Bombyx mori: one gene and its partners. The protein of the gene in region 1 purifies or fractionates together with the protein of each later gene. This does not show direct contact. Links are inferred from orthologs where the notes say so. Each region holds a gene or a part of one and is shown in the gene's direction. Other genes may lie near its edges.

What was found.
Region 2: the proteins of mitochondrial intermembrane space import and assembly protein 40 (region 1) and cytochrome c oxidase assembly factor 7 homolog purify together in Homo sapiens (co-immunoprecipitation; 3 studies listed by BioGRID and IntAct, with this or other methods). This does not show direct contact. The link is inferred for Bombyx mori from reciprocal best matches to the Homo sapiens genes CHCHD4 and COA7.
Region 3: the proteins of mitochondrial intermembrane space import and assembly protein 40 (region 1) and Tim10 purify together in Homo sapiens (co-immunoprecipitation; 4 studies listed by BioGRID and IntAct, with this or other methods). This does not show direct contact. The link is inferred for Bombyx mori from reciprocal best matches to the Homo sapiens genes CHCHD4 and TIMM10.
Region 4: the proteins of mitochondrial intermembrane space import and assembly protein 40 (region 1) and FAD-linked sulfhydryl oxidase ALR purify together in Homo sapiens (co-immunoprecipitation; 3 studies listed by BioGRID and IntAct, with this or other methods). This does not show direct contact. The link is inferred for Bombyx mori from reciprocal best matches to the Homo sapiens genes CHCHD4 and GFER.

Annotation. Positions count from the first base shown.
Region 1 is NC_085131.1:14,549,579-14,555,437, forward strand, and holds the start of mitochondrial intermembrane space import and assembly protein 40, read left to right. Parts: upstream 1-2,480; 5' UTR 2,481-2,677; exon of another isoform or gene 2,678-2,926; intron 2,927-3,518; exon of another isoform or gene 3,519-3,566; intron 3,567-3,706; exon of another isoform or gene 3,707-3,716; 5' UTR 3,717-3,951; intron 3,952-5,039; 5' UTR 5,040-5,046; coding exon 5,047-5,279; intron 5,280-5,627; coding exon 5,628-5,838; 3' UTR 5,839-5,859.
Region 2 is NC_085134.1:3,289,513-3,295,099, reverse strand, and holds cytochrome c oxidase assembly factor 7 homolog, read left to right. Parts: upstream 1-2,169; 5' UTR 2,170-2,451; coding exon 2,452-2,836; intron 2,837-3,805; coding exon 3,806-4,173; 3' UTR 4,174-4,247; downstream 4,248-5,587. Other genes in the region: Mtap (5'-methylthioadenosine phosphorylase), read left to right, coding at 2,146-2,169, 4,868-5,043. UniProt on the Homo sapiens protein: Required for assembly of mitochondrial respiratory chain complex I and complex IV.
Region 3 is NC_085130.1:5,898,833-5,904,551, reverse strand, and holds Tim10 (mitochondrial intermembrane space translocase subunit Tim10), read left to right. Parts: upstream 1-1,987; 5' UTR 1,988-2,117; intron 2,118-2,974; 5' UTR 2,975-3,137; intron 3,138-3,475; 5' UTR 3,476-3,518; coding exon 3,519-3,660; intron 3,661-4,477; coding exon 4,478-4,617; 3' UTR 4,618-4,676; downstream 4,677-5,719.
Region 4 is NC_085117.1:20,076,294-20,082,058, forward strand, and holds FAD-linked sulfhydryl oxidase ALR, read left to right. Parts: upstream 1-1,968; 5' UTR 1,969-2,224; coding exon 2,225-2,335; intron 2,336-2,493; coding exon 2,494-2,687; intron 2,688-3,378; coding exon 3,379-3,541; 3' UTR 3,542-4,115; downstream 4,116-5,765. Other genes in the region: cytosolic Fe-S cluster assembly factor nubp1, read left to right, coding at 689-720; histone-lysine N-methyltransferase E(z), read right to left, coding at 5,341-5,401.

The DNA of each region.
Region 1 (5,859 bases):
ATCTACATTCTACAAACTGTGTGAAAGCACTTCCTCCCGGGAAGAAAACTTTATTCACGTAGAAAATTGTCCAAATCACGAAAAAAAATGGTAGTCCATTGGAGCAAGGTCTGGTGAATACGGAGGGTGACGAATGATTTCTAATTGCAGTTCTTGTAGAGTTCAAACGGTTTCTCGTGCTGTATGAGGTCTCGCGTTATCATGGAGCAATAATAGTGAAGATCGATTTACGGTACTATTACCTTTTAATTGGTAAGCTTTGCTTTAGGACACTGTTGCGGCGTTTGACCTGGAGTCAGCCATTGCATTTTTCGCTTACGGTTATCGTAAAGAATCCACTTTTCATCACATGTCACAATTCGATCTAATATTCCCTCATTTCTGTATCGATTCAACAAGGCAACACAAATTTCAACACGCGTTTCTTTCTGCAGACCAATCAAATCATGAGGCACCCATTTTTCATATTTTTTTCATTTTATTCATTTGACGCAAATGAGTCATTTGCGTCAAATGCTTTTTTTCTGCCGATGCTGATAGCCTTGAGAGGCTATTTCAGCTTCGCCTTGACGTGTGGGTGAGCTCACGGGGCTCAAACCCGGAGTGCTAAGACTGGCCCTAGCAAGAGCAGTGCTTCACAGAATCTACCACTGTGAAGATCCGGCGAGAAACTCAGTGAGCAACATAAAGTGCATTTTAAAGTTTAAATAAATAAAATAAATGTCCCACAGAACATGTGGTTGTAGCTAGGCCACTCACTTGCCGTAACATACCCAACCTACAGAACCTCAGAGACGGGACTAACAAGACGCCTTTTATGAACCAATTTCACAGATTCATTTAATTTGTAATTAAAGCTGCCTATTAGTTAACTATTTTTAAACGATAAATAGCATTGCTTTTAGAACTGTTATTCTGGGTTCAAAAATCATATTGCCCTCTAACGGTTCCAATATTCAACATTACCGCATTGTTTCATAACATGTTGCATGTGTTGACAACGATGACTCATAGATGGCGCTAGCTGTATGCCAAAAAGGTTGTGTAAAGTAAAACTGGGGTCGTTTTTGTTAAATTTATAGTGAACTCAGTCTAAAACGGGACAGCCTTTAATGGAATTACATAACTCAAAAAAGTATTGTTGTTATTTTAAAATATCGGTCAAAACAAAAAGTGGGTTCTTCACGTATCTTGTAAAAGATGTAGAAGAAATCTAAGCTCCTGGGCTTCAGGTGGAAACAGGTCTTCGAATTTTAATATGGCAATGAAATGGAGGAAATTAACTATCCAATCCACTGGTTTATGATCCAATCCGAAAATGACAGCTACTTCTGTTTTACAAACACATTTGGTTTTAATCACAACAACAAAGCTAAAATTATAAATACGAATATTTCCTTCGGTTACTAAGCCATATTTTTATCGCTGGGTAATCCGTTTGCGAATTCCCGGTTGAAGGGGGTAACAGACCGGGTTATGTCGCACTCCGGCGTCTCCAAATAAGAAGAGTTAAAAGAGGAAAGCTGAAGTCCTCCTCCTCCTCCAATTCCTCTCAGGAGACTAAGCCTTGAAAAAAGCTATGACTACCGACTAAATCCCATCGAGCTACACCACACCAGCTAGAAGAAGCATAGTGCGCGGCGAAAGTCCGCCTTCGCCGGTATCCGACAGCCCCTATCCTGATGATAGGACGGGATTTCAACCCCGGGAAAATCCTGAAGGACGTCGGATCTCAGGAGACACATCGTGGGCAGTGCACAAGAGCCACCTTGCACTGCCTCACCACCGGACTAACCGTTGAGTACCGCCGGACACCTCCGCACCCGGCACTCGACAGCCCCTACGGGGCCGAGCAGGGGCCTCGCGCCCGCGTTTCCCTCCCCGCTTATACGCTGAGGAGCCGTAGAGGGACCCTTTCGCGCTCCTCCGCCTCATGGAACGCTATGACCAGGTAGGAAAACCTGGCCATGGCCTCCCACGAACTCTGTTCCTCTAACATCTGAGGAATTGTTTGAGATAATACCATCATCTCGTTTTTACCATCGGACCGCCCGCCACCGGAGTAGAGTTCATCCATACTACCTGGAGCCACTGCGTTCATCCACAGTGCACTTCCAGAGATCTTTTTTGCCACGTACCATCCGGCTTTGGAATGAGGTCCGCTCCACGGTGTTTCCCGAGCGCTATGACACATCCTTCTTCACACAAGGCTTGTGGAGAGTATTTAACGGTAGACAGCGAGTTGGCTCTGCTCCTGGCATTGCTAAAGTCCATGGGCGACGGTAACCACTTACCATCAGGTGGGCCGTATGCTCGTCTGCCTATAAGGGTAATAAAAAAAAACCTCGATATCTGATTTCTAAGTCCCAGTTTTACAGAACGGCTGCCCCATCCTTTAAGCCCAAACGTATTATTAGTACGGTGTAGTGTGCAACTCGCCTAACCTTATATTTGTAACTGCACACACTAAATTGTGACAGAATTACATGAATTGTCGACTTGAACAGTTCTATTTTATTTCACCTACAACACTCCAATACAACGGTAACGGCAGTAATGTACCTAGATACTACCTAGTGGTACCTAAGTACCTATCTGTGTGGATTCACAAGACGCCCTATCACCAGCAAAAATGTTAGCACAACAACAGTTCTTTTTAGTCCTTATCATAGACAATGTGAGTAAATTCTTTGTCGAACTTATTAAAAAAAAGGCTAATAACCTATAAAAATAAATAATGTCAACTGTCACTTCAACGTTCAGATATAAATCAACATTTTAGAAATGAAATAGGGATACATAACATTGTGATCAGTTTTATTTCAATAAAAAAATTCAGGGCGTCTCTGAATTTAGTGTAAAGCGAATGTTGCCTCAATTCTTTTACCTCCAAGTTGAGTAAGTGGCAATCACGATTTATCCATCAGTTAGTACACAACTAAAGAATCAGAATCTTGAATAAAAAAATTATAGTTTAAAAAACCTAACAAAATACGCTTTTAAAGAAAATCCAACAAAAAAATAGAAAATAAATTTTAATAAATTTTAATTTAAAATAGTGTAAGAAAAAATGATATTATTGTAAAAAAAAAAAGCGTGGGTTGCTTTTCAGGATATTATCAAAATAACCCTTCTACTCATATATGTTCATAAAATATTTATAACTACTGATACCATGCACCCCACAATTTTTTTACACTATTTCAAATTCAAATTTATTTAAATTTATTTTCTATTTTTTAGTTGGATTTTCTATAAAAGCATATTTTGTTAGTTTTTTTAAACTATTATTTATTGTTCATTTTTTAGTTAAATTTGATTTTTTTCAATATTTTTTTAATATTGAATTGTCATCAGTCCTTAATAAGTATACCAAAATTTGAGTTAATCTGTCTTAATTAATGTTAATCTTTCTGTTCTGTCTCCCCAGTATTACTTTAAGTACAATGCCGATTAAAGTACATCTACTGCACTGCTCAACACTACATCAATTTTAATGATATTTGCTGTATTTATAGGTTTGCCATTGACCAAGGTGGCTTAACACGAGACTGTATTGAACAAATGTTAATTTGTTGCAATAGTAGTTTTTTGAATTTTTGTATATCAAATTTTGATATGAGGGGTAAATTGTATAAGTTAGCAACACTATAAAATAAAATATATCTGTTAGTTATTTAGACTAGTCAACTAGAAATAATTTTAGTTACTTGTAGGTGTAACAGTGCACAGAGTGAATTATCACTACGGCGTTTGGTAGAAGAAGCGTGCAAGACATTGTTTGGTGAAGTGGGGGGCTCGATACCTGTGGATGTGCTATCAGTGCAAGACAAGACAGCTGTATTGCGAGTAAATAGCACGGAGTTCAGGAAAGTCTGGGCTGCTCTTACAGTAACTACCCAGTTACGAGTGCATAAGGTGTCTCCTTCACTACAGGCACTTGTATAGGCAGTGAGTGTCACAGTTAAATACATAATCTTACATAAGTCACAATCTTGATTTCATATTGTAGGGATTTAACAAATTATTTATTTGCTAGAATTTAGGATGATATTTAAAAAGCATACTTTATGCCCTTAAATTCATTCTTCATATTCAAGATATGAAAATATTTTTATATATTACATGCTCATTGAGTGCCTTGTATTGTTCAACACCCAAAGAAATGAATAAACTTTGAACTACACTCAAATTATCACTTGTGCCAAATGTGCATCCTTGTTACCTGGCTGCTTAACAACGATAGTGTTTTTTCAAGAAAAAAACTGACAGCATAAAACTGCCAAACAGAGAGGTAATAATGGGTATAGATAAACATTGAATAATAATAGAAGCACAGCGAAACTTCAAAGCTTTCAAAGTTTCAAAGAAAAGAAACTATGGAACTTGGAAAATAGGAAAAGAAATTAAACAAGCAATAATCAAATGACATCAGAAAAACAATAGAAAGTCTCTGGCAGTTTTTTTTATTGCTTAGATGGGTGGACGAGCTCACAGCCCACCTGGCGTTAAGTGGTTACTGGAGCCCATAGACATCTACAACGTAAATGCGCCACCCATCTTGAGATATAAGTTCTAAGGTCTCAAGTATAGTTACAACGGCTGCCCTACCCTTCAAGCCGAAACGCATTACTGCTTCACGGCAGAAATAGGCAGGGTGGTGGTACCTACCGGCGCAGACTCACAAGCGGTCCTATCACCAGTAATTACGCAAATTATAATGTTGCAGGTTTGATTTTTATTACACGATGTTATTCCTTCACCCTGGAAGCCAGTCATGAACATTTGTATAAAGCCTGTGTCATTTCATAGAAAGGCAAATAAACTCACAGTCAACCTGGTTTGAACACATCTTTAGGGATGAGGTGTAAATCTCAATTTTAGGGTATAATGGCTGTTCCACCCTTTAAACTAGAATGCTCCTTTTGTGGCACAATTAAGTAGCAAATTGTATATCAGGCAGTACAAATGTATTTAAAGTGGATGCAATATGCTGTAATAAGTATCATAATAACCTGTGTATTGATTTTTTTTTTAAGATACAACATGTCGTCTCCATCAATTCTACCTGCTGGGTCAGGCAACAAAGATATAGTGATTGTAGCATCACGCGAAGAGTTGTCTACACCAAGTAGAGTATCACTCCCGGACCCTGAACCGACACCTGGCCTCATTCTGGCAGATGGTTCCATCAATTGGGGATGTCCATGTCTTGGGGGTATGGCCACTGGTCCTTGTGGGATACAGTTCCGTGAGGCATTTTCCTGCTTTCATTACAGGTTCGTATTTCAATTCTTTGATCAATATATTTCAGCTCACTATCTTTTCCAACAATTCAAAAGACAACTACCATACATCCTTTGAAAGAATGCATGTCTGTATTTTCCAAATGATGACATCTTTTGTTTACTGTAGAACATACGAACTGTAATAATGAGGGTTGCTCAGTCCAGCAACTGGAACCCCGAGCTCGCTAGTATCACTTGCACTCAGGCCCTGTTGCTGAAGTGTTCTGAATCCAGTGGCTCTCGCAACTATTACATAAACTTTACAAGAAACGTGAACTGTCGTTTGTCTGAGCATGTGCAGAGACTACAGGTTGCACTACATGTGTTGTTTCTGTACAGTGAGGCGGACCCAAAGGGTAGCGATTGTTACGAGAAGTTCAGCGTGATGCAACAGTGTATGGCGGAGTACCCCGACCTGTACGGTCGCGACGACGACGACGAACTCGCAGAGGCGCTCGCCGGCTCCGATACTGCCACCGCCCCTGCCACTGCCACTGCCCCTGCCCCTGCCACTACTACTGACAACAACGCCACTGAGGAACCTCACTGACCTACACGCACTCTCACACAC
Region 2 (5,587 bases), on another chromosome or scaffold:
ACATATATGGTATTTGTTAAGCAGCTCATGTCGTGATGATTAGTGATTATTTTATTCAAAAACAGAGTAACATATAACAGCTACAACAGACATCCCAACTTTTTGTTGGATTTGTAAGCAGCAGCAGTCAACCCACATGATTGTAAGTAATCACCTTCACGCATGGACATGAGCCATGCAAAGAGAACAGTAAAACTACCTTCTATACTAAACCCGCGTAACCTTAATTTTTAGTGAGTGGACCAACACAATTAACTGTCACTCTGCCTTCTTTTTCTTTTGGGGGTCAACATGCCAAATACATGTTGATGTTTAGTTAAACAATGCAATTATTAAATTGTATGTGTAATGTGAAATATCAATCTATTATACAACATTGTACTATTTAGATATTTAAAAGTTTCATTGTAAATTTTTTAGTTTTGGTGAGATTTCTGTTTTTTAACCACAGACTATAAATCTGTAATTCATCACATGTTGTTTTAAATCAAGTCTTAATCAAACATTTCTTTAATCTTTAATAAATAACCTCATTATTATACACAATAAAACTACGATGGTAACTTAAAATGTACCAAAAACTCGATATAAAGTGTCTAAATCGTACCTGTAAAGAATTTCATGCACAAACAGCTTATTAAATTCTGGCATATTTAATCTCTCTTTTGCATCTTCAAGATATGCAAAAATATGGTAGAAGACAAACAGGCCTCCACCCCATACTGTATGGTCTCTCAACGCTGTAATAAAATATTTTAAATTCAATATCAGAAATAACTTTTTCGCAAAAAAGAGATTTATTCTCAAAAACCTCCAATGAGAATGAAAGGTAATTTCCAAATTTTTCCTAGTACTTTTTAGTTGTTGATTATAATCTGCGCAATGAATTGTTTAATAGTATTATTTGCTCACATATCGCAAATTTCGCATTGACCAAGGCATCGCTGACAGAATGTATTTTCCGAGTCGCTTTTCTCATGCGTGTCGTGAATAGATCTTGTTCAGACATTTTCTTTTAGGATGAACAATTTAATCTTATATTCAACACAACAACAAACAAAGAAATACAGAATACCGATATTAGGTTTCAATTCAGACAATAACAATTTATTGAAATTTCATAAATCATTTTGATTTGTCATTTACCAGCTGATTTATTTTTTATTTTTTAAGTGATTTTATGACCTGGTAACTAAGACCTTTAGGTCATGTCTTATTTTAATTTATATTCTTATTTTTATGAAAAATGATAATATGGAGTGAAATGAAATGAAGAGGATTAATTTGAGACATTAATCAACTGGGATGAAATGAAATGAAATGATATGGAATGAAATATAATCTCAGTAAAATGGTAGTCATTTACTGAGATTTTTTCAGTTGACTTTTTGGAGGAACTCGAGTAGTTACGTCCAGTGGCTTTGTTTCATTTTCCCCCATTTGTGCACTATCACAGATATTAATCAGTTAATAAGCCACCGTTACTAATATACATAATACTCAGCAGTAAGAACCCACAGTAAGCTAGTGTTGTAATCTTTCTGACCAGCAAGACAGTAAGTACAGCGGGCTTGTGAAATAGTGTACTGAACTACTGAGTAGTAGCAGTGTATCGACCGTTATGAAAATCTGTAATTTGCTCGAAAAGAAATATTCCAATTTGTTGTATTCACTATTATGGATGGCTGTTCGAAAAACGTTTGTCCAAATATAATGTATTGATTGAACAGAACGAGTTTTAGCATTTGAAATTATAACAGGTTCTTACGAAAAATCCGTTCAAGTTTCAGCAAAATCCTACTATATAGCTTAGAAATAGTTTCGTTTTACTTTATTCAATTTCAACCCATATTATATCAACTACACCCGCACTGTCTTACTTTTCATTTAGCATAATATACAGACAATTTTTTTTTGCTAAAGGACTAGAATCTAATCCAATAAATATTAGTAAAAAATATATATTTCCGGTCAGTTCCCGATTCTCACACTTCGAGGCAAAGAGTTTGACTTTAATTAATCTGAAGTTCCGGTGCTTAATTAGATAAATTATAAAAGTAAACACATAATTTAAGCGGTTACTTATTTAACTGAAATAGGAAAGTTCTTGTATCGGTGTGTATAGTGTTGAATAGTTCCGTCGATATGGGCGATGTAAGAAAAATAAAGGTAAGTAAAAAACTAAATTATTATATTTTAAAAAGCTAATTTCAATTCCTATACATGTTATAAGTCTGGGTCATATAAACCTTTTCAATCCAAATTCTTCTTTAGTTATATTTGTAATTACTACAAAATAATGTTGATCTTATTTCATTTATTTTATGAAAAGAGTAGGTGTACTGCTTTGTTTATAAACTGATAAAGCTTATCTATTTGACATTTCATGTGTTACCTAACCCTAACCTTTTAAGTTAAGGTCTCGTGAAATCGTTTAAATAATAAATCAAAATGGCTTATGACTTAAAAAAAGAAGATGAAGTCAAAGATTATATAGAAAACATTGGAATAGAGTATCGCTTCGGTTGTTATAAGGAGCAAAAACCGGAAGTTTGTCATCTGCTAGCCGATTATCTAGAAGCTATCAAAAAAGACTTCGAAAAGGCCGCTAAAGTGTACAAAAGTAATTGTTTAGAATATAAATTCGGAAAGTCATGCCTGAAAATAGGTAACTATACATTAATAGGAAGGGGAAGGGAAAAGGGTGACCCGGCCGAAGCTCTAATTTATTTCGAAAAAGGTTGCGAATTAAATGACCCCGGTGCTTGTCTACATGCCGGGATGCTGCTAACGGCTACTGGACCGGGCGTTAACATACAAAGGGATGTCCCTAAAGGTAAATCAATATTAATTATTCATGATATTACCATAAAGTTTTCATAGACACAGATAACAATTTTAATTTAGGAATAAATGTCTTAACGTTAACTCAGGTTTTATTTTTATTTTTTTTATTGCTTATATGAATGGACGAGCTCACAGCCCACCTGGTGTTAAGTGGTTAAGTGGTATAGTTACAACGGCTACCCCACCCTTCGAACCGAAACGCATTGCTACTTCACGGCGGAAATAGGCGGAGTGGTGGTACCTACCCGTGTGGACTCCCAAGAGGTTCTACCATCAGTGATTACGCAAATTAAAATTATGTACGTATCATGCTTCTAATGTATATAGCTGCTACTTCAGTGGAAATAGAAGCTGTTACTTCAGAGTCTTATTTTCATGTTAGGTTCGTGGCATGTCACCATCCATGAGAGAATTAGACATATTATGTTGAAATAGAAATATTGTGTTGGTTGTGTTGATTCTGCTGTATGTACCTTATCACTAATACCAACCTTGACAAGTTTTTGTATATGGCCATACTACTCTACTAGGGCCAATTTATTATTATGAACAGGCCTATTGTTGGTAATAAGTCTGATATTAGGATTATAGATTGGTCTGTGCGTCGAGTAGTATTGGTTAATATCAACATTCCCCACAACGAGAACCTCATGAAGGCAAAAAAAGATAAATTAGTACAGGTTTCTCCCATATGACATGTTAATTCAAGAGTCATTGATCCAATAGTTGTGTCAATGGACATAGTGACAGCAATAGCACTGAAGCTCTAAACTGCTGGCTTGTGTTATAAAAACTGCCCACCACGCCAATTTATTTTTCTATACTGTTATTTTAATTTGTGTTTTTATCCTGGGAAAATAGTTAGAGAAAAAATTTTCCAAAAATATATTTAAAAAAATATGGTATTTTTGTCAACAATAATACAACACTGTTCATTAATAGAATCATTCAATTTCAGGATACAACTGCCTCAAGAAGAGCTGCGATCAAAATGATGATATGGCGTGCCACTACCTCTCCGGAATGTATCTGACTGGTGTACCTAAAAACGTTCAGGATTTCAACCCGCATAATCCTGAAAAAAATAAAAACATAGATTATCTAATAAAACCAGACAAAAAAGAGGCGTTCCGTTTTGCGAAAAGAGCTTGTGAATTAGGTAATATGTTTGCTTGTGCCAATGTCAGTTTAATGTACAAAAAAGGTGACGGAGTTGAGAAAAACCAGGATGAATCAAAACGATTCTTTGAAATTGCACAGAGCTTGCAAAAGGCGCATGAAACTACGAAAGAGATTAAATTTCAACAAGGTTTGGATGGAAAATAGTATTATATGAAATACTTGTTAAAAATCAAATAGAATATTCGTTTGTGTATTGTTTAAAAATAAATTATTATAAATATTATGTTGTTTTATTTAATATGAAAATTTTGTCGTAATTATCTGAACACATTTGAATTCGAATGTATCGAATTGGTTGAAGAGGTCTTGGAATGTTTTCGTTATATTTACGTTGTTTTCGTTATTATTTGTAAGTGTCTTCTAGATTTTGCATGCATCCTATTTTTATTTCCTACTTAAGCTGATAGCCTTAAAATACTATTTCAGCGTAACCATAACTAGAAGGTGAGCTCACGGGGCTCAAACCGGAGTGATGCTAACACTGACCCTAGCAAGAGCAGTGCTTCGCAGAATCTACCACCGGATCGGAAACGCGGCTCACTGAGAAGATCCGGCGGGAAACTCAGTGGGCTTTGTCTGTTAATTTACTTGCCGAACCCTTGACAGATGTCGGATCGACGAGAACGATGACCGGATAGTTTGTTTTTATTTGATGACTGACATCTTGTTAGCGTTTTTTATATCTGTCCTTAACATTATTTTTGTCGTTTCTAATTAAATCATACGGTGAACGATACTCACCTCTCGAGTGCAAAGGGTTAACACCATATTTTGATACCTATAAGCGCATTGCAGGATTTGCAGCTTAAGTGTTTTTCTTTTTCGTTTTCTCAAACAGATCGGAATTATCGGAGGTTCGGGCTTCGATGATCCGACGCTTTTCGAGAATCAAATCGAAAAGGAGGTGGTCACACCGTTTGGGAGACCCTCGGACGTACTGATAGAGGGTCAAATCAAACGGGTCCAATGCGTTCTGCTGGCACGACACGGCAGAAAACATCAACTTCAACCTAGGTTGGTCATAAACTTTAGTTAATATATCACGATTTCATTGGCGCTGAGCGTACATACCGACCCTCGTCTGATTTCAATTGTCGGAGTATAATATATGCATTATATATAATATATAATATATAATGCATGCACGAGCAATCAATATTTTTCAATTACCAACCGTTAATAATTAAATTACAATTTGTAGAATTACGCATATTATGTACATCTCTAAAAGTTTTAACCCAACTAAACGTAATCTAAACGTAATACTGGTGGTAGGACCTCTTATGATTCTGCGCGAGTAGGTACCACCACCCTGCCTATGTCTGCCATGAAGCAGTAATGCGTTTCGGTTTAAAGGGTGGGGCAGCCGTTACTTGAGGCCTTAGAACTTATATCTCAAGGTGGGTGGCGCATTTACGCTGTAGAAGTCTATGGGCTCCAGTAACCACTTAACACCAGGTGGGCTGTGAGCTCGTCAACCCATCTAAGCAATAAAAAAAATCGAATATAGGTACAATATAATAGGTACAATAGGTATAATTCGTATAGATACGTGATT
Region 3 (5,719 bases), on another chromosome or scaffold:
CCAGGTGAACACTATGAGTACCTACTTAGCCCCAATATGACCTCATATCAATGCCACAAAATTTGAAAACACAAAGTTTATGTTGGAATTATATACAACACATTTGTACCGTATACTTAAAATTACTGCCACACAAGCGAATTATATTTAATTACCTATAGATATCGGTGATCCATATAAAAATTGATGCACCGATGCTAATAAGATTATAATTGAAAATATCAAGTTAAATGTAGCTTTAGTGTGAAAACATACTTTTAGACAATTTTTTCTCCTCTGAAGCCATTTTAGCTCGATAATCACCGAAATGTGTCCTCATTAATTGTCTCTTCCTTATAATCGGCTGATTATTGTTTTTCAGTACAGTTAAGACTTTCCATGTTTCTTGCACTGAAATCAAAGTCAAATGGATATTGCAAATTTAGTAGGAGGGTAGGTACCGTGCAAATCGAGAATTTTAAATTAAGAACTTTTTTATGAAGGCACGTATTTTGATATTTTGATGTAGCGTATTTTTTAAAACTCGAACATCGCTAAATTGGATAATTTTTTTTTTAATTTGTCTTATTTTAAAACTCACATTGTTTTTCGTTTCCTTTCTTTTCATTTAAAGTTCGCTCTAACTGTTGGATACACCAACATAACTCGAGCTGAAACTGTCGTAACGATTCCTCGGGGTCTACACCTTCGGACTCATGTTTATCAATTTTACAAGGTTTCTGTAAAGATGTCGATTTGCCTTTATTGTGCAATCTTGTTGGTTTAGGCATTTTATTTATGATATTTTATATCGCCACGTTTTGAAACTTTGTTAATTCCAGAGAAGTTTTGATGAAGTGTAATCTGTGTATTATTATAATAACGGATGTATGTAACGTTCTCTTTGTAGTAACGAAACCAAGTCAACAGAGGACACTAACTTGGAAAAAACTGAAAACAAATTTATAGCATAGATAATTAAGTAGCATTTAGATCGGGTGCACATTGTCATTCCTGCCGGCACCAGTTTATTGTCTATGGTTGATACAGACTGTCCCGGTGACTATTTTATTTATTTATTATTGTACAATATATGCAATGCGATAGATTTTTATTTTAGACTAGCTGACCCGGCAGACCTCGTAGTGCTTCAATCGTTAAATAAAAGACCTAAACTTTTGTATAAAATAAACTTAAAACAAACAGCAGGAGTCCGTCCGACGGGGGACACATCAAAGGAAAAACAAATTGTTATTTTTATTTAATTCCAAGCATTTTCATATTTATCTACCTTTCAAACCTTCTCTGGACTTCCACAAATAACTCAAGACCAAAATTAGCCAAATCAGTCAAGCCGTTCTCGAGTTTTAGCGAGACTAACGAACAGCAATTCATTTATATATATATAAGATACGATAAGATAAGATAAGATAGATAGAAGATAGATTAAAGGTATTAAAAACTAAACTTCGCATTATGCCAATAGTTTGATGAATCGTTCGAATTAATTCTCTTCTGTACGTGTTATCAAATAAACCGGCCCAACCGATACGAATGAGTATTTCCGTCCGGGCTTAACATAGACAAATATTTTGAAGAAAAAAAATGTTTGCCAGGGAAGACCGCTGATGATTCTAATAATTCCTCAAATTTCTCATTAATATTAAGTTTAAACGAATCTTGTGTCTAATTTATATTTATGTACTCTATTATGGCAGATTAATCTCTACATTGGAAATCTGTAAGCTTAGCTCAAAAAATTTTATACCAAAAAGTTCACAAAGTTTAATTTATAATTAATAATTTTATTATTTAATTAATTTAATAGTTAATTTATGTATAATATAATTAATATAGCAGATTTTTCATAAAAACCCGTTCCTATGTAATGTTCCTCCTTTTAGTCGATACGCGCCTGCAATATTTCTTTACAATCATACGATCACATAGCGACATCCGGCTGTGACATAACGTTTTAAAAATTGGTACTAAAACGTAACCTTAAAGTTGTAAAAGCAATTCCAAAATTTCATAGTATGCCGCTTGGAAAATTTGGAAAAATTACTCTTTCGTGGTAAATAACTAAATAAGATATACCCAAGTTTATCACCAGCTTACTTTTGATTTACCTTTCGTTGGTGAGCGCAGAATTAAATTCGATTTTACTCATTTCATCATTCGTCTATTTAGCCAAGTTCTATTTTGTGTAAATATAATTCTACAAGATAAGTCAATTACCTATCACAGCGTATTATTATGCTCGCCTTTTATTACTTATTAATAAGAAAACATGAAAATTAAGTTATATACTCCACAACCTTGACTCTCATGTGTCTTCAGCCACAAGAAATCCATCAAAAATAACGTCATAACTTTGGAATAAACGTTAAAAGCGAAGATCTTCGAGCAAGCGGGTTTCATTTCTAGGGTAGACCCACGATCTTTTGTAAATATGCATACTTATCTTGGAAATGTTGTTAATGCGATTCAGTTATTTTGGAAATTACTTATAGTCTATGTTACCTTATACTACTACGCAAATACAAGACGAATCTGTATTCTAAATGAATTTGAACTCACGTTTATGCATTTAGATTAAAACTAGTGGATTTTATATGCATATTTTGTGGATTCTAACTTAATTAAAACTTGATAAGTCTAGTTTCTGAGATAAGTAGCTGTTATCGGCTGTTTCGCCTGTGGCGTTATAGAAATGTGTCAATTTAGTTTCCTGTGGGTATGAGATGTTTTTTTGGAATAAAAATCTCCTGACCTAAAACTATGTCAAAAAAATCATGTTAATTTATTGCTTCATTTTAAAGTGAATTAAAGACAGACAAGCACACTTTTTAATTTATACCATTAGTATCAACGTGTATGATGTAGTATGATTTTATTAATTAAGCTTAGTTATTTTATGTTACACGTTTCACAAATGTTCCAGACCCATTAGCAGAGAGAGGATGTTTTAACCCAGGATCGGTGTTAATTTCAGGTTAGCAATAACAACAGCAAGTTTATCATTATTCGTGGTGGCGAAGAACTACATTAATACTCAGCGTGTTGAGAATATGAAAGCAAGAGAACGCATGCGAAGATCTAATCAAGGAGAATACCCTGACTTGTATCGGAAATTGTGAACTTGAATTCATTATAATGTGAGTATCTCTCTAGTAACTCTAGAAAATACTGGTGAGTAACACTAAATTAACTGGTGATAGGACCTCATGTGAGTCCTCATGGTTAGGTACCACCACCCTGCATATTTCTACCGGGAGCAGTAATGAGTTTCGGTTTGAAGATTGGGGCAGTCGTCCTAACTATAGTGAGAGCTTTGAACCCATATCTCAAGGTGGGTGGCGGCATTTACGTTGTAAATGTCTGGACTCCAGATACAACTTAACACCAAGTGGGCTGTGATCTCGTCCGACTAACTAAGAAAAAAATTTGTATACAGTGTATGAATGTAACTAAAAAATATTTTAATCTACTGTAGTTTCCAGATATACCATTGAACATTACTTAGTTAAAACGTAAAGATGGCAGTACCGCAGCTAGACCCTGCAAAGCTGCAATTGGTGCAGGAACTGGAGATTGAGATGATGTCCGACATGTACAACCGCTTGGTGAGCGCATGTCACCGGAAGTGCATACCAATTAAATATCATGAACCTGAATTAGGTAAGCCAGGCAAAAAAAAATATGGCGAACATTATAATTATAGGGACCTTCAAAATTGTATTCATTGTGACACACAAATGGTTTATTAAACTGTGGTCGTCGTGGCCTAAAGGATAAGACGTCCGGTGAATTCGTATGTAGCGATGCATCGGTGTTAGAATCCCACCAGTAGTTACCAATTTTTCAATCAAATACATACTTAACAAATGTTCGCGATTGACTTCCATGATGAACGAATAATATCAAATAAAAAGTGTAATAGAAATCAAACCCGCAAAATTATAATTTGCATAATTACTGGTGGTAGGACGTCTTGTGAGCCCACTCAGATAGGTACCATCACCCCACCTATTTCTGCCGTGAAGCAGTAATGCGTTTCGGTTTGAAGGGCGGGGCAGCTGTACTGTTAAAAGTGACACCTTACAACTCATGTCTCAAGGTGTGTGGCGGCATTTACGTTCTAGATGTCTATGGGCTCCGGTAACCACTTAACACCCGGTGGGCCGTCTATCTAAGCAATAAAAAAGAAAAGAAAGATAATTATGACCTTCAATGTCCATTTGTTTCTTTTTAAGCCATCACACTTATGAAGTTTATGACCTATAGTTTATAATTATTATTATAAGCTAAGCTTTAGGGTTATACACTGTTACAGGACATCTACAAATACAAAAATATATAGATGATATAAAGATAGGTGATATTTAGAAAACTGATGTAGCATATGCTTTTAAAATAGATACAAGTATTTAAGAGATTTAATTGCCTCGCTTATATAGGATGAGTTAATTTTGAACATGATCTTCTCTTCTTACAGGAAAAGGCGAATCTGTATGTTTAGATCGCTGTGTAGCCAAATACTTGGACGTACATGAACGCATAGGTAAGAAACTTTCCAATATGTCACAAGGAGAAACCGAAGATCTCACAAAGGTCAACATACCAGACAAAAAATAGTACGAAGCTACTACTCACGACAAATCAATCAGTTGCTAGATTTTTCACAGTGACCAGTACAAGACATCTGCAGATTTGAGATATTTTGTTGTGAAAAATTTGCAGTAATATATAGGTGAAGTAGTCTTTCTATATATAATATTAATTCTGCCATTATGTCAGTACTTCACTATGAGAAAACAATCTACTATCACTAGTAATCTCGAGAGATTATGCTACCTTGGTCATCTACCCTAACAAGGGCAGTGCTTCACTTGTGACGTTTGGGAAATAATGTTACTCAATTTTGTCTGTGTAGTTCAAAATTCAAATTTTTATAACCGGTTCTGTAACTGAAACATTGGCTGAAACGCAATTGGTGCAATTATTTTGCCTACTTCTATGAAAACTATTTTTCTAAAACTAGTTTATTTTCATAATTAGTTCAAAGCTCTGTCCAGTGTTGTTACTTCATACGGCTATTCAAAAAAGTTATGTTTATTTATCTCTACACTACCCTCTATGGTACTCTCACAGCTCGACAATATTTTAAAGATACTGTAATACACTGTACTGTAATGCATAAAAAGTAGGATTATGTAAATTTTAAGACAGAAACTAGCGGTTACCGAATGAAACGACCATAGAGTTTAATGAACAAACAAATTTTATTAGCATTCTTTTTTAATCATAATTTAATACTGTTCATGTTTTTCAAGATCAATCAGCCATAAACTGTAAATTTTTTTTTTTAAATTTTTTTATGATTGAAAGATTACTGGTGGCCCGGAGTCCTTTCCAGTTTCACCAGGACACGTGGGACATGTTTTTTTATAAATATGCTGGAATGTCTTACGTGAACACGAAACTTAATTAAATTTATGCTTTTAAATTTCATCGTGATAAAAGCTGAATTGATTTGTCGTAAGTCAAAGCTTACAAAAGTAACGTTTACAAACAATGCGGAGACCGCGTTTCAGAATTCTGAATGTTATGCTAATTAAGGAATTCTCTTATTGAAATGCATTTTTTTTGTTAATTAGCGTGGACTATATGTTTAGGTTGAATTGTTAGATAGTTATTAAAAAATAAAACAAATGAATAAATGCAACAAACGTGTTTT
Region 4 (5,765 bases), on another chromosome or scaffold:
GTCGGACATCGGTGACTGCAACTTTTCAAATTGTACTTAGGTAGCACGTACATAAGTACATACTAAAGCACGTACATACTAAAAAAAAAGAAAAACCACACCATACAACTGATTCGGTGCAAAGCGATTTCTGTAAAAAGTATCAAAAGCTATGGTTCTAATGTCGGGATTTAAGTCCACAAATCAAACTATTACTTCGGTATAGTCGAATCCTTATGCTGAGTACTGATGAATTACCAGTATGAGTTGATATCGCTATCCTGCCTATTTCTGTTACAAAACAATACATGGCCCCTGGTTTGGAGGGTAGGGCAGTCGTGGTACTTATTAAATCAAATCTCACTTAAAAGTGACCAGCAGCGTTTACCTTGTTGTGTCGCTTGTAAACACTGAAATCCAAGGCCTGTAGCCCATCTGCACATCTAACAGTAAAAAAGAATTTTTATATTAATAAATTAATTCTTCTTCTTCTTCCCAATCGTGTCACTTATGAGGGAGTGCTCTTAGTCGTCATGTAGTGTTGGAGGGGACAGACTTGAGGCGTCTCACGATGTTCCGCCGTCTCTCCCTGCTCCCTACCCGCTCCTTACAGGACTCAATTAGGGAACCTCCCAATGTATTTTTAATTTGGTCGGTCCACCTCACTGACGACCTCGTGCGGTCTTGTTAATTAACGTCTTTTTTTCAGAAATCGTAGCAGCCTGTGAGAACTCGAACTAAGCAACAAAAGTAACTTGCGCTTAAGTTCCCGTTCGTTAAATTTGTTTCAAATACCATGTACCATATACCCAATTATAATAAAGTAAATATAAGTAGTTACTGTACATAATGTGTTCTTATTTATCCTAATTTAACGCTTAAATTTAACAATATTTTCTTCAGCATACGTCGCTTTACTTCACTTACACAACCATCATTGTTCGATATCAAGCCTCCAAGGTATATGAAGGATTGAACGACCTCGCAGTTGTTTGTAATCTGAGTGATATCTTGAAAGTTTGGTTTTGGCTCGGTCTGCAATCATCATTTTGGTTTTACTGCGCTTAAGCTTTAATCAAAACTCTTGGCTTTTGCGCTCAATTTTGAGAAGTATATATAAGAACAGAAACATCACCAAGGTCCCGGCTCGTACGAACTCTTGTTATTCCCCTAATTTTTATACGCACGGTTTTATACGGTAGGACCTCTTGTGAGTGCGCGCGGGTAGGTACTACCACTCTGCCTATTTCTGCCGTGAAGCAGTAATGCGTTTCGGTTTGAAGGTTGGGGCAGCCGTTGTAACTATACTTGAGACCTTAGAACTTATATCTCAAAGTGGGAGGCGCATTTACGTTTTATATGTCTATGGGCTCCAGTAACCACTAAACACCAGGTGGGCTGTGAGCCCGTCCACCCATATAAGCAATTAAAAAAAACGCTTGCGTCAGGTTGAAAAAAGATCGATGCTTTGGAGATGTGGTGCTGGAGACGAATGCTTGGTATTTTATGGGCCGAGCTTCGAAACAATATCTTCACTCTTCAAGAACTCTGCATTAATCAGCGCCTTTAAGCGCTCGTACATAGGCGCATAGTATCATTTTTCGGACATGTCTCCCGGTGTGGAAATGACTCTAGAGGGTGCCTTTTCGTTCAGGGCAAAGTAGAAGGTACCAGACCACGGGGAGGGTTGCCTATGAGATTGTCCGTCAAGTTAATAAATGGCGGCTATTTACATGAATGTATCAAGCTCACCACAAACCTAAGAAAGGCGATTGCTCGTGAGGCGCATAGCATCTGCCCACAGTAATGATGCTGTTTGAAGACCACGGTCGCTCTGACAAGAGTGATACGACATACGAAAAATTATATTCGATAATTTAGTAGGTATTGAAGATTATTAAACCACCACCTTAGGCTGAAAATTTTACTATCGAGCGGCCGTAAACAATTTATAAAAAAAAAGTCATAGGTCAACGTCAATGTCACGTGTCAAATTCTGCAAATTTATAAACATTTGACAATTTTGACATTTTAACTTGGCCCGAAAAAGAAAACATTCAGATTCTTTTTGAAAACTGATAAAATAAAATGTGGTACATGGATATTTAATTTGACAAATTATTCTGTCATATGTTAAAAGATATTACACTATTTTTATGCCAGGAAAATACTTCTCGGCAAGTTACGTTATTACACAACATAATTTGTATTTTCATGAGTATTTCTGCAATAAATAAGTACAAAAATGCCTCCACACCACGAGGAAGAAGAAGATAAACCTTGTAGAGCATGTTCGGATTTCAAAACTTGGGCAAAACTACAAAACAAAGGTTCAAAAACCGCGCCGACCAAACCGGTGAGGTTAAGTTGCAACAGCTATGATAACATTAATCAATTATAATTCAAAAATATTGCTTAATTGCAAATATACACATAGTGGTTGCGATTTTTTTAATATTCATAAGCATTGAAATTTTCTGTTCAACTTCAAATTTCTCAATCCTAACATTACAGCCTCCTCCTCAATCAAAGGAATGCCCTCTAGATAAAGAAGAATTAGGTAAATCTACATGGGGTTTCCTCCACTCGATGGCTTCATATTTTCCTGACAAGCCAACTAAATTACAATCGGAAAATATGTCACGATTCTTTAATATTTTTGCCCAATTCTATCCATGTGAACCATGTTCTTTGGACTTTCTGGATGAGTAAGCATTTTATTTCTGTACTAATAATAATAAAAAAAATATCTTTCAGTTCAACTTCTTTCAAGATTATAAGGAAATATTTAAAAAAAAACCCAACAGTAATTTGATCTGTTACTTTTCATTTACATAAATTTAAATACAGCTGCTTTAAAATTGTTATTGCTAGATAATTTGGTATTCTTAATTTTTACGAGGCAAGATATGACAGGATTTGTTACATATTACATTTATTTAAGTTCTTATCAAAATGTAACTAATGATGAATTATTTTAAAAGAGAAATAATGTTCCATTATAATGTGGTTTTCAATATAAAACAAACTCAAAATAAAAAATTATGGATTACAAAGACTTTTTTCTCTAGTTCAATAAAAAGTTATGAACATTTTTATGTCAGTTTCAGAATCAATCAACAATAGCTTGGCATATTGTATTGTATAAGTTATTTATAGTATTTCTAGTTGGCTAACTTACCTAGGTGCTCATTTTGGGTAGACATCTTTAATGTACAAATTTTAAAAACAAGTTTTAACTAATAGACTTGGCTTTTTTTTTAATAATCTGATTTAGCTAATCCACAATTATTTGTTGAAATTGATGTAATTGTTATAAAATTAACTTTAAAAAAACCTGGCTATCTACCTTGGTAACTTGATCTTTTTTACCAGTAAATAATTTTTCCTAATTTTCAGCATACAAAAGAACCCACCAAAGACAAAATCAAGGGATGAACTAGCAAAATGGCTCTGTGAGAGACACAATACTGTGAATGTAAAACTTGGAAAACCATTATTTGACTGTAGCAAAATTCACGAGAGGTGGAGAGATGGGTGGAAAGATGGCTCCTGTGATTAATAATAAATTAGGATAAAACTAGTATTTCTGACTTGGGAAACACATGAGTCGTCTATTATCAAAGGCGGCAATCTGTGCATTTGGACAACAAAATTTTATTGATATGTCAATACAGATTTATTTGAATATAATCGTCTCCTTCAAAGAATACGGTTCAAAACCTGCATTAAATAAAGGTTAATAGTTAACCTGTTATTTATCTAAGATGTCGTTCCGAAGAGTTTTGTGACTGCCGATGGAATACAAAGTCAATAATTCGTTTTTCTGATTTACCAATCATTGTCCAAAAGTCAGATTGCCGCCTTTGATAATAGTCGACTCAAATATTAATTTTGCCCTCAAGTTGAATATAAGGAAACGTCATTAGCATTTCTGTAGTAAAAAAGTCTTGAATTTTTTTAGATTTGTTCATTCAAATAATACTGTTTATTACTGTGGAGAAATACATGTTCATCTGGTAGTCAGTGAGATTATTTCAATTCAATGTTAAGATGTTTTTGTGATGTTTATAGTGAATTTTTACATTTTAATAAATATGAAATATTTATTTGTAAAATACATTTTTGTTCTGGTTTATTGGTATTTAATATAAAAAACCTTCATTATTCAACATAATATAATTATAAGGCTTGTATCCTACACTTCTACTTTCACCACTGTAAGGCACAATTCCCTTATAAATTTTAGTAATGCAACATTAAATGCAAAATTAAATTGCAACAAGGTTATATAGGTATACATATATAAATTCTTATTTAAGACCACTAATATCTGTTTCAGTATAATTACGGCAAAAAATGAAAAATACAAAAATGATATATATGTTAAAAGCCTCTGTATAAAATTCAATTATAAATTCACAAACTATCATAATGAAAAATGAGCTACACAGCCACCAGCCGTATTCTGCTTCCCTTTTGTCCGCCTAATTGCTGGATGCCTCGAGAGGCTATTCCAGCTTCACCGGTTTGGTGGGTGAGTTTACAGAACTTGCTAACACTAGCCTTAGCAAGATTAATGCTTTGCTGAATCTACCACCCGATCCCAATCGTGACCCACTGGGAAGATCTGCTGAGAAACTTTGTAGACTGTCTGTCAAGTTGTACGTTAAGCCCTTCGTCGCATTCCACGAGAATGGTGACAGCAGCTTAGGGTGCTAAAAATCGCCAAGAATGTTGTATACAGTGAGCTCAAAGTGGGGCTGTAAATTCGCACAAGCTATTTTATTTTTTATTTATTTCATTTACTTTAGATTTTGCATCCATACTATTCCATATTACATTCATTAGCATTTAATATAGTATACCAAAATTAAATAAAAAATTATTTAATTATATATTTATAAATATGTATTTGGTTTAATAAATAAAAAACAATTTGGTTTTATTACATATTTATTAAAGAAGAAGAGAGAAACGGGTTTTACCACATCTCATGCAATAAAATTATTTCATTATTAATTAGCCAGGTATTTAATTTAAACATGACGTGTCTAATGCTCTTCCCAATTCATCTATAATGTGTGCCGACTGAGAAGACATACCTTACTTTACATTTACAAAAAAAACAAAAGACATGCGAAGAATTCAAACCTGTGACCTCTCACAGGCAGGTGTACAAGAAACCGTGAGTTTTAATATTAATGTTACATTATGAGATGCCACATGTCACTTGTCATGTTCACTTATCTTCAGATGTCAAATTTCACATAGATAACATTCTAATGAAACTGTGAGTAGAGTTCACACTGACTTTCTCAGTGTCCTGCAGTCTTGGAGCGACTGCTATTTGGACTGTTCTCATAAGAACTCCATCTCTCTCTCGATTCCTACGAATTTCAATTGCTCAGTAGGTCCATATCTGAAAATAAAAATCCATTAGTTCAAATTACAATACAATAATCGAATGAATTTGTAAATAGCCCTAGCAAGGTAGTCAGCGGGGTGTGCTGCAGCTGTTTTGTTTTATTTTTCTCTGAAATAAATCATGTCTTCAGATTGGAGGGACAGTCAACCTGTCATGAATCAATATTTAGACCTTATGTCCTGAAGTGGATGGTGGCAACATATGCTGATCAGTATTTATCATTGAAGATCGGGCGCGCCACGGGTCAACACATAGCCTTCTTTGATGACGACATCACACCAAGAGTAGCGCAGGCACTCGTGCAAGAGCCTCAAGAAGTTGTAGGCGGTGCTCAGTTTGTGACATCACTGGTTACAAA